3 linked regions of the Cricetulus griseus genome follow. The protein of the gene in region 3 interacts with the protein of the main gene of each other region in a pairwise test. Links are inferred from orthologs where the notes say so. Each region holds a gene or a part of one and is shown on either strand. Other genes may lie near its edges.

Evidence for each region. The genes of interacting proteins can lie anywhere in the genome.
Region 1: the proteins of Max (region 3) and Mga interact in binary tests that used the Homo sapiens proteins (3 or more experiments, as listed by UniProt). The link is inferred for Cricetulus griseus from reciprocal best matches to the Homo sapiens genes MAX and MGA.
Region 2: the proteins of Max (region 3) and Unc45a interact in binary tests that used the Homo sapiens proteins (3 or more experiments, as listed by UniProt). The two-hybrid records come from large-scale screens. The link is inferred for Cricetulus griseus from reciprocal best matches to the Homo sapiens genes MAX and UNC45A.

Annotation. Positions count from the first base shown.
Region 1 is NC_048599.1:58,545,504-58,549,003, forward strand, and holds part of Mga (MAX gene-associated protein), read right to left. Parts: coding exon 2,998-3,500; intron 243-2,997; coding exon 1-242. UniProt on the Homo sapiens protein: Functions as a dual-specificity transcription factor, regulating the expression of both MAX-network and T-box family target genes. Functions as a repressor or an activator.
Region 2 is NC_048596.1:117,270,347-117,273,846, reverse strand, and holds part of Unc45a (protein unc-45 homolog A), read right to left. Parts: intron 3,496-3,500; coding exon 3,403-3,495; intron 3,000-3,402; coding exon 2,832-2,999; intron 1,506-2,831; coding exon 1,337-1,505; intron 959-1,336; coding exon 788-958; intron 1-787.
Region 3 is NC_048598.1:126,561,405-126,565,590, reverse strand, and holds the start of Max (protein max), read right to left. Parts: upstream 2,801-4,186; 5' UTR 2,571-2,800; coding exon 2,535-2,570; intron 1,858-2,534; coding exon 1,831-1,857; intron 1-1,830. UniProt on the Homo sapiens protein: Transcription regulator. Forms a sequence-specific DNA-binding protein complex with MYC or MAD which recognizes the core sequence 5'-CAC[GA]TG-3'. The MYC:MAX complex is a transcriptional activator, whereas the MAD:MAX complex is a repressor.

The sequences.
Region 1 (3,500 bases), on a different chromosome or scaffold from region 3:
TCGGATCTGATGTAAAGGTAAGAGTTGGACAATCTGTCCACTGGGGTGCCTGAATAGGTTCATTCCACTTGGGCTCCTAACAGGTTGTAAGACCATCCGCTGTCCCTGAAGCTGTGGGTTTGGGATTGGTCTAAGTGTAGGAGAACCCTGCTGCACTGGAATCAGCAACAATCGAGGTCCAGTACGTTTCACGCTGTTAGGAGACATCTGTGGAGTAGTCACTGGATTTTGAGTGCTATTTTCTGAAAAACAGAAAAATGAGAAGCTACTATAAGAATTTATCTTTCAGAATACATGGGCAAAAATGTGACACTAGATCTAATAATACTGCAAGTAATGTCTCACTTGAATTATGATGTTAATGAAATTCTGTCCTGCTATAGTATACTATTCATAGCTAAGAATATAATTCATTTTATTTTTATCTTTTTAGTGGTTCACGCCTTTAATCCCAGCACTTGGGAAACAGAGGCAGGTGGATCTGAGTTCAAGGCCAGTCTGTTCTATGGAGCGAGTTCCAGGACAGCTGGTGCTACACAGAGAAACCCTGTCCCAAAAAACAAAAACAAGACATTTCAAATCATTAATAGTACCAAATGAGATTTAATGTTTAGAAGAGCTATTCAGAAATACAAGGCGAAAATGATAGTATTTTAGAATTATGGGGTAAAGAAATGGGTATAATATAATGGTAAGTACAAACAAAACTGATCTACTAGTAGTTCAAATTAGTACACTTACCTGATATTGCTACTAAATATCTCAAGTTTGCTATTTTATTATCTGTGAAAATAATATTACTCAATTTGAACAAAAAACATGCATCTGAGGGCTAGAGAGATGGCTCAGAGATTGCAGCTCCTGCAGAAGACAGTTCAATTCCTGGCAACCATGTTGGGAAGCTCAAAAACTGCCTGTAACTCAAACTTCAAGGAATCAAAAGCCTCTTCTAGCCTTCAATGATACATGCATAAAGGCACATAGATCTCTCATGTTAAGAGCATTGGCTGCTCTCTAGAGAAGCCAGGCTTACCTAGATGGCAACTTACAACTATCTGTATCTCCAGTCCCAGGGGAATGCAACATCCTCTTCTGGCCTCCATGGGCACTGCACACATCTGGTGCACAGACACACGCAGGCAAAACACCCATACATATTTTTTAAAAAGGAACCTTAGGCCGGATGGTGCTGATGCACAGCTTTAATACCAGCCAGCACTCAGGAGGCAGAGGTAGGTGGATCTCTGTGAATTCGAGACCAGCCTGGTCTACAAGAGCTAGTTCCAGGACAGCCTCCAAAGCCACAGAGAAACCCTGTCTGGGGGTGGGGGGTGGGGGTACAGGAAGGAAGGAAAGCAGGCAGGCAGGCAGGCAAGCCTCTGGAAGCACTCACTGCATGTATGTGGTCCATAGACATACATGCAGGCAAAACACTATACATATAAAAATCTATAAAAAAATTATCAAAATAAATAAGTGTACCATTTTAGAAAATGTCACTGCTGTACATGTTCTTAGAAATGCAGTAACATTTTCCGAGGGAGGGAGGGGAAGAGTAATGCCCACTCCAGCAGCTGTACATGAAATTCCCTCCTTAAAGATGAGCAACCCTAAGCTCTTATCATATAGTATGTTGCACTTCCTCCATGTCATTTTAATGGCTGTTCTAATGGCTCAGAACTTTGGTCCTATTTACATCATTTAATGTCCTTCAGCAATCATTTCCACTCTAATGTTTTTGAATTTTTAGTATTTCCTGGGGGTAAATTCTACTCCTACTAACCTATCAATCAGATTATCTCTAGAAAACATCTGATTCTTATAATCAAGAATCTGACTACAAAACTATACAGATAGCCAGGTGGTGGTGGCGCACGCCTTTAATCCTAGCACTTGGGAGGCAGAGGCAGGCAGATCTCTGAGTTGGAGGCTAGCCTGGTCTACAGAGTGAGTTCCAGGACAGGTTCCAAAGTTAAGAGAGAAACCCTGTCTCAAAAAACAAAAACAAAAACAAAACCAAAAAACAAAAACAAAACAAACAAACAAAAAAATTGTACTGATAATCTGATCATTCCTGATCCTACAACTAGCCATAAACTCTGTTAATTTTAGCGTTCAGATTTGTAGAATTCTAAGGTTTTAAGAATGGTAACATATGGGGCTGGAGAGATGGCTCAGAGGATAAGAGCGCTGCCTGCTCTTCCAGAGGTTCTGAGTTCAATTCCCAGCAATCACATGGTGGCTCACAATTCTCTGTAATGAGATCTGGCGCACTCTCTGACCTGCAGGCCTACATGTAGGCAGAACATTGTATACATAATAAATAAATCTTAAAAAAAAAAAAAGGTAACATATCATACTTGGCCAAAATATATACAGAGTTACTCTAAAATGTATTCAGGCATATCTAAACTAGTGCCTGCATGCATTTTAAGATAGGGCCAGGTGTTGGTGGTGCACGCCTTTAATCCCAGCACTCGGGAGGCAGAGGCAGTCGGATCGCTGTGAGTTCGAGGCCAGCCTGGTCTCCAGAGCGAGTGCCAGGATAGGCTCCAAAGCTACACAGAGAAACCCTGTCTTGAAAACCAAAAAGAAAGAAAGAAAGAAAGGAAGGAAGGAAGGAAGGAAGGAATACAGCCCAACACATTTATAGATGACAATGTCAAAACTGGAAACTCCTAATTTTATTACAACTGGCAAATTCTATTAAATAGCTTTACAATAAAGCATATGAAGCCAGGTGGTGGTGGTAGCACATGCCTTTAATCCCAGCACTCTGGAGGCAGAGGCAGGTTGATCTCTGAGCTCAAGGCCATCATAGACAGTAGAGCAAATTCCAGGATAACCAGGGCTACACAGAAAAACACTGTCTAGAAAAACCAACAGATTAGATTAGATAGATAGATAGATAGATAGATAGATAGATAGATAGAGACATGAATGAATGAATGAATGAATGAATAAGCAAGCAAGCAGATGAAAACAACTAGTCCTTACCTGGTGGTCTCTGGCTCACTGGTGGGCTTCCATTAATTCCTGAGAGTATAATAGGTACAGAACTCAGTGATGAAGTTGGTGTGGTCACCACAGAGGAAGATGCAGCTGTGGTAACCACAACTATGGAGGTGGAGGCAGTGGAAGCAACAGGAAGAGATATGGTTGGAGATGCTACCAATGATTTAGGAAATGCAACTGAAGCCACAGGGCTAGTACTTGTCCCAGTAGTTTTGATAAGGTTCACAGTAGCTGTAGACTGGGTAGATGTTATAGGGGTAGTGTTATTAGTTTCAGCGATCTCAACAACTCCAGCATCAGAGGCACCAGAAGAATAAGTAGCTTCTTTAGCTCCCACATCAGAAATAGCAGACATAGATGTCACAGCAGTAGCATTTTCTAAAAACACTTGAGGGGAAGAAGTGACAGCAGCAGTCACAGTGCTGCACACCTGAACTGGCTCAGAAGAAACCACAGGCGTGACGACCATTACTGGAGAAGGCCTG
Region 2 (3,500 bases), on a different chromosome or scaffold from region 3:
TATTTATCTTTTTGGAAAATGAGAAGTGTAAATTGCCACATTATGATTTGATTGTCTTTTTCTCCAAGAGTAGTAGTAGTAATACATCATCACTAAGAAAAACTTCAAACAGGCCAATGAGATGGCTCAGCAGGTAAAGGTGCTTGCCACCAACTCTGATGACCCGAGTTAGATCCCAAGGACCCACAGGGCAGAAGGCAAAAACCAACCTCTGCATGTTATCCTGACTTCCACCAGTGTTATGGTGTTTGAACACACACACATGGGGAGGAGGGGGAGATTTAATAAATAAAAATGTCTTAAAAGTTTAAAATAGCCGGGCATTGGTGGCGCATGCCTTTAATCCCAGCACTCTGGAGGCAGAGGCAGGCAGATCTCTGTGAGTTCCAGGCCAGCCTGGTCTCCAGAGTGTGTGCCAGGATAGGCTTCAAAGCTACACAGAGAAACCCTGTCTCGAAAAAACCAAAAAAAAAAAAAAAAAAAAAAAAAAATTAAAATAAATAATGTGATTTAAAAAAAAAAAAAACTTCAACTAGAGAAAGAGGACACTGCCTTTCAATTGGCCTTCTTCAGGACTGTCCAATGTGCATGCATTTGTACAGACACCCATCACACACACACCCAGCTGGAGGGTCTTTGTGCTCCCTACAGAGATTATAAGGGCCATAGGAGGGCAAGCAGTTCAGGACAAGCGTAACGCCATATACAATGGCAACTTTTCTCATCACTCCCACAGAAAGGCAGGCCTCAGCCACCCAAGCAAGTTTCTCTACACTTTATCACCTACCTTGATCAATGACCCAGAGTGTGAGGCTGTTGTTGGGGTCCTTTGGAGATTTCCGGGGTACCATTTTAATTAGGAGGGTCAGGGCATTGTCACGGCCCTGGCCAGAGACTCCTGCCTCAGTCAGTAGCTCCAAGAGGTTACTAATGAGGACCTTCAGCTCCCGGGCAGGATCTGGCAACAATACACACTACTGATCGATGTGTAAGGCTATGACATTATGGGTTCAGTCCTCCGCACATCAGACAAAGCAGCACAAGGGAAATGTTATATTAGTGAACTCTACAGTGACACAGCCCTGTGTGACAGTTGAACTCCTCAACAGCCAGAGCGGCACAGGCAAAGGAGGCTTCCCTCCTGGGTTCTGAGCTGAGCCTAGCTTTTTCCTCAAGCACTTGGCTATTAGAATCTAAGGCATGAGAGCTCGATTCCACAGTGAGACTTTGTCTCAGCAAAACAAAAGAATCTAGGGTAAAATATCACCACTAAGCCCCATTCCATCCATCCCTCCACAACAGTACCATCCAAGGGACCAGACCTGCTTCCACTCACCCACAATAATGGCACCTTCTTTGCCTCTGAAGCCTTTCTTGACGCCTTCCTTGAGGGCATCAAACATAACCTGCAGCAGGTGGCAGGCTGCCAGTGATACGGCCTGGTTCTCCACACCCAGGATGGAGACTACTCTCCGAGTTCCCAGGACACTCAGGGTTGCCACTGTCTAGGTTGGGAAAGAATTGGACAGAGGCTTGGTTGGTAAAGGGCAGCCATGGTGATTCCTAACAGTGAGTTAGTGAGTGTGGCCAGAAAGTGAGCAAACACCTGGGTGGATGGGGCAGCTCCAAGTGAAAAGGGAAGTAAGTCTAATAGTATGACCTGTGTCATGCTGTGCTTCCTGTTAGAAAGGGTCTAAAGAAGGCACCCCATTTGGTAGTGGTGGCATACACCTGCAGTCCTAGACAGAGACAGAATAGCAGCCAGCTCCGGGACAGCCAAGACTATGTCTTGGCTATGCCTGACAATGAGGAGGAGGAGGAGATATTGCAGAGTCCTCATCCACCTCTGCTCTCTATAGTTGGAGCGAAGACAAACCCCAGGAGCAGCTATTTGGTCTCATGTCTCCTCCAGGAGAAAACACACCTGGACAAAGCATCCTGTTAGATGCAAGCACCTTCCCAAACCCAGCAGTAGGGTCTGTGCACACCTCAGGGTGTGAATACACATGGGGCAGACCTGCAAGGCCTCTCCATCTTTCTTCTAAGCTAGAGAACCTAGGAGGCCTGATGGGCTTATCCCAGCTCACACAGACCTGGGGCACAGGATACACATGGTTTTACTATTCTAAATATAGCCCAGGCTTGGCCTCAAGAGATTTCACTGACTACTTCACAATCTACCCTTCTTGGAACTGGAGATTCCTCTAAAAGCAATCAAGGAGTCCAGCAATGCAGCACGTGCTGAAATCCCAGAGGGACCGTGAGTTCAAGGCAGCCCAGACTACATAAGAAGACCCTGACTCCCAATGTACACATAACTGATCAACCAGAGACCAAGTCCCTATTTGCTGGGTCCAGCGAGCACAAGCAAGAGCAGGGGCATGGACTTTTCAGGCCCAGGAGTAGGGCCATTCTTGTGGCACTGTCCATGCTGCTAACCAGGTCACTATCTCTAAGGCAGATATGCTGTTGGTGACATCACGGGTCTCTCCTCTCCAGAGGAAAGGAATCCAACCTTTGGAATGGACAAAACCTCTTTCTGAGCAGCCCTGAGTGGGCAGTGACCAGGTCTCTGTGAACTGGCTTCAGGACAGTAATGATCAAGGTATAGGAGGCTACGTTTGTCCTTTTCGGTCCTACTCCATCCTAATTTGTGTGTATCCTTTCTGTCCTTTTAATTGTTGCCCATAGTTGAGTAGCTCCTATCTGTGCTTTCAGCTCTTTTGGGAAAAAGATGGGGGAGTGAAAGAGTAGATGGGTAGATAAAATTAATAGACAAATGGACAGAGAAACAGACTAAGGCAATAACTAGACCTCTCCACACTACCTACCCGAGACTGGTGCTCAGAGCAAATGCCGACCAGTGTGCGCAGGGCTGCCAGCATCAGGTCAGTCTCTCCTGTGTCCAACAGGCGTTGCAGGAGCTGAACCCCATTGCTCCGGAAGATCTTCTCGGCTCCTGCATCCTCTCGGGCCAGTACCACAAGGTTCTGAGAAGCCTACGCCAGAGGAAGTACATACTAATGTTGACACTACAGACATCCAAAAGCAGGGCAGGCAGCGAGGCCCTGAGCTCTGGGCCTCACTGCTTCTTCTTAGCCAGCCATAAATTTCACCCTTTGGAACTTCGGCTTCCTTCTCTTCAAGTAGAAAGGAGAGCTTGGTCTTGTGGGTGATGGTTAGAGTGGGGTCCCTAGCAGGGCTTCAAGAGCAAGGGCAGCACCTCAGTCACACTGTATGCCAGCTCCTGGCTCTAGGGTGACCACCAAGGTGCTCTGTGAACACTAATTCCCTTTCCTTGCTTCACACCAAGGACTCAAGGCCAGCAGGACTTCTGAGGTCCATACTGGTGAGCAAAGGGGTATGTATGGAAGCCCTAGAGGCTCACTCCAGGACCTGTACCTTCTGCTTCTTCTCTGTGCCTTTCTCTTTGGGGTCCAACAGTATCTGAAACATCTGTTCTACTTTGGCATCTGTTGAGGACATGTACCGCACCTATG
Region 3 (4,186 bases):
CAGTGCTAGGGATGAACCAGGGCCTACTGAAAGTTAAGTGTCCTAAGGAGCTAAATTCCCAAGCGAGAGAGAGAGACAAAGGTAGAGAGCTCTTGTTTGTTTGAGACAGAATCTCATTCTGTAGCTCAGGCCAGCCTCTAAACCAGGGCAACCCTCTGCCAAAGCCTCCTAAGCACTGGGCCTACAGAACTGGATACAACCGTGGACTCTTTTTTTTTTTTTTTTTTGGTATGTTAAGGCTGGGCCTCAATAAATTGCTGAAAACAGGCCTGAACTTCTGATCTTCCTACCTCGGCATCCCGAGTAAGGGCGTTCACGGGACTGGGCAACCAAGCCTAGTTGCATCCAGCTAATTCTCTATAAGCCCCCAAACAGCTGTTCCACATATCATTTAAAAATCAAATAGCTTCGTGGGTAAAGTTGTTGAGGCCAAACCTGATGATCCTAAGTTCAACCCCAGACCCACATGCTGGAAGGAGAAACCCCACTCCCTCAAGTTGTCCTCTGACCGTTACATGTGAGCCATGGCATGCACACAATCACAAACACACATTAAATAAGTGAATGTAACCTTAAAAAATCAATTGAGTAGGCTGAGGTTATAGCCAGGCCCCGGGCATGCCGAGGGCCCTGGGTTCAAGTCCCAGAATAGCCAAAAACTACACGCAAATACACTGGAAAAATAATAATCTGTTTCTAGCATTTTAACATTTCTCTTAAAGTAGGAAAATCGAGGGAGTGTGGCTCAGTGGTAAAGGGTCTAACCCCAGCCCTGAAATAACAATAAGACCTAGCAACACTGAGCTCACTCTCATACAGCAAGCACCAGAGCTAGGTGGCTTCGGACTTTCTACAAGGGGCATGCATTCCTCAGTATCCCAGTCCTTACCTCTCCCTCTATCCTTGACTACCTCATTACCTAATCCCCACAGGCAAAGGCATTATGGCCCTCCCTGTACACCCTTTTCACCATTGCCAACTATCAAATATAACACTTGTCGTCTCTCTTCTGATCTGGATGTATTCTCAGTCTTCTTCCCTCTCCCTAATCTATACCCATTTACTACTAAGTCTCAGACTCTAAAGACAAGAGCTCATGGTGTCAACCCAAATCCACCAGAGAGACACCTACAAAAAGCTTTAACATCAAAACCCTAAGAAGTTACTGGTAACACTGTATGGACTCATCCGGACACCTTTTAGCGTAGCTGTCTCCTACAATGCCACTTTTCAACCTTTTTTTTTTTTTTTCTTCTCAAATGGAAAGTCAGACCACAAGAAGCTGTGACACTTTCAAGATTTAACTTCTGGCTCCTCCCTGTTTCTATTTTGTTGTTGTTGCTATTGTTGAGAATAGCATGCTTTTCTAGTTTTAAGAGTCTGTGGTGGCAGTCATGTGACTTTGGCTAAAGGCGATTATTACTGTGCTTGCAGCTTCACACAACTGTGCAGATAGTGCTTAAAGCTTACTTGCTCCTAAGTAAACCTGACCTGTAAGTCTGCTCTGAAATAACACTACCCTTCACTTCTCACGTGCCTGGGCTGCATCCTTAACTGAACACTCCAGAACAACTCAGTTTTAGCATGGGGCTCGCTCTCTCACTCACCTACCTACTCACTAGGATCTACCACCTGAGAAGCCAGAATCATAGGATTTGCAGCCCCCCACCCCCCCACCTCCAACCCCAGCTGACTCCACCTCACCTTAGCGGTTAAGAGGAGAGTTTACAAGAATATTAAAAAATAAAGAACGATCACTTTTTCTCTCTGACTCCAAAAAGGACCAAAACTGAACGGAAATGAAAATGAAATGGAGAGTAGGAGACGTACCGCAGATTGAAACCTCGGTTGCTCTTCCTGGAATAAGAGAGAAAAAAAAATAGAAAATATAGAAGTTATTTTTACACTTCGAATTCAATAATAAGAAAGAAAATGCCGGCGGCGGAGGAAGCAGCGGGTGGGGAGTCAGCCCGACACCCCTCCCTCCCTCTTTCCCCTCCACTCTCTCCAGCGGGATCCCGCAGCCTGGTGGGGGTCCCAGGCGCCGCCCCTCTTTCTGGCATCCGAACCGGACAAGAGGGGTCCGGAGCACACTGCTCTCCCCGGACCCCCCTCGGGAGTCAGAGCACTCACTCCCAGTCCCCTCACCCCCAGGATCAACGGGTCCACGGGTAAAAGGAGATCGTGGACCCAAGAAGCAGGTCCTGAGCGCTGGTCTCCTTGCCCAGGATCCGGACGGATAATGGGATCCCCAGCCGGATAGAGTGGAGAGGGAGGCCTCGGCACCCTCCTCCACGGGAGGAGGTGGGGGTCCCAGAGGCCGCGTGTCTGCTCCCACCTTCAGTCCCAGGAGGCCTCTCCGGACAGGACTGGAGGGGAGCGAGCGCGGAGCGCGACGCAGGCGGTCCCGGCCCCGGGGGAAGGGGACGGAGGCGGCGGCGACCCGGCCCCCTCCCGCCGTCGCCCCGCTGAGGGCCCCGGCCGCTGTCCCCGCCTGACAACCCGAACGGAAAGGAAGAAGCCCCGGGACTCACGTCGCTCTCCACCTCGATGTCATCGTTATCGCTCATTTCCTACGGCCCAGGGAGCGGCCACTGCAGCGGCGGCCGGGGAGGGGAGGGGTGGAGGGAAGGGGGAAGTCACCGACAACAACAAGCCGAGTGCCCCCACGCACACACTCACTCACTCACTCACTCACTCACACACACTCACACACACACAACACGGGCGACAACCACCTCACTGCAGCACCCGATCAACGGCGGCACGCACGCCCGGTCGGCCCCCTGACACGTGACCGGACTCTCCGCGCCGGGAGAGCCGAGACTTGTAGTCCTCGAGCGTCTGATGGGCAGGTCGGAGAGCGCCGGAGAAACTACAAATCCCATCAGGAAGCGCACACAATCTTCACCAGCCCCGCTTGTTGACAGAGCGCAGGGCGCGTGCGCGCCGGTGGTGGGTGCGAGAAGTGGCGCGGTGCCTCCCGGGAGATGTAGTCCACAGACCGCGAGTTGTCAGGAGATTTTCCTCCCCAAGCGGCGGAGAGGCTGCTGGGAAGACAGGACACGTGGAGGGAGCTGGGCTTCTGGAGCCGGCCACAGTCTGAGCTCTGGGCGCCTGGCCCAAGGGATTGGGTGGAGGCTCAGGGGGAGAAGCTAGCTGCCAAAATAACACTGTCTCTTCTTGGCTAGACTGCTTTTACATTGTCTTGTTTAACGCTTGAGTCGCTCCACTTGCGCCCTGGGGCGTAACCCTCACGGGAAGGAATCAAGCTGCTGCTGGCCAGGGGGCGCGGTCGGGATGCCCACGCGGACCCTCGGGATCTAGTTTGGGGGAGTTAAGAGGCGATACAGGACAAGCTAAAGGACCTGCCTCGCCGGGGTACACTTAGTCCCAAGAATTTTGCTTTCATTTGTCCGAGAGGACCGTCCTTACTCGGCTTGAATGTTTACAAAATCTCGCTTAGGTGGAAGTAAATAAAACCCAACTGTTTGTCGTAGCCCATGCAGATGAAGGAGTGCCCCAGTGCGGGAGAACCTTAATTAAGAACTGCAGAAAGAATAAAAACGGGAAAGTTGTGCGGCTCCCTGTCCAACCAAAGTCATATTTATACACCGAGGTATGAAGCATGACTACATCCCACCAGTATTTATTATCTAATGTGGCAGAACAGGCATGCCGTGATGGGTACGACTGAACAGGGCCCCTCAAAGATCTCACAGCTTGTGGAAGCGAAAACCGGACTACCCTGCCACCATTTTCAGTGTGCACCAGGTCCTTCCTTGATGAAAGAAAAATAATAAAGGCACCTTCTATCACCAGAGAAATTAACCAAACTGGTTAATTTACAACTGGTTTCCAAAATGAATGAAGTCTTGGGTTTGGGCTATGAGTTACTGATTCCTGAGTGAAAACAGTTTTGTTTTGTTTTGTTTTGTTTTACATTTTATCTATCTATCTATCTATTTATTTATTACGTATACAACATTCTGCTTCCATGTATATCTGCACATCAGAATAGGGCACTGGACCTCATAACAGATGGTTGTGAGCCAACAGATGGTTGTGGTTGCTGGGAAATGAACTCAGGACCCCTGGAAAAACAGTCAGTGCTCTTAACCTCTGAGCCATCACTCCAGCCCAAGTGAAAATAGGTTTTATCCCTGACTATTGAAGGCAGAAACTT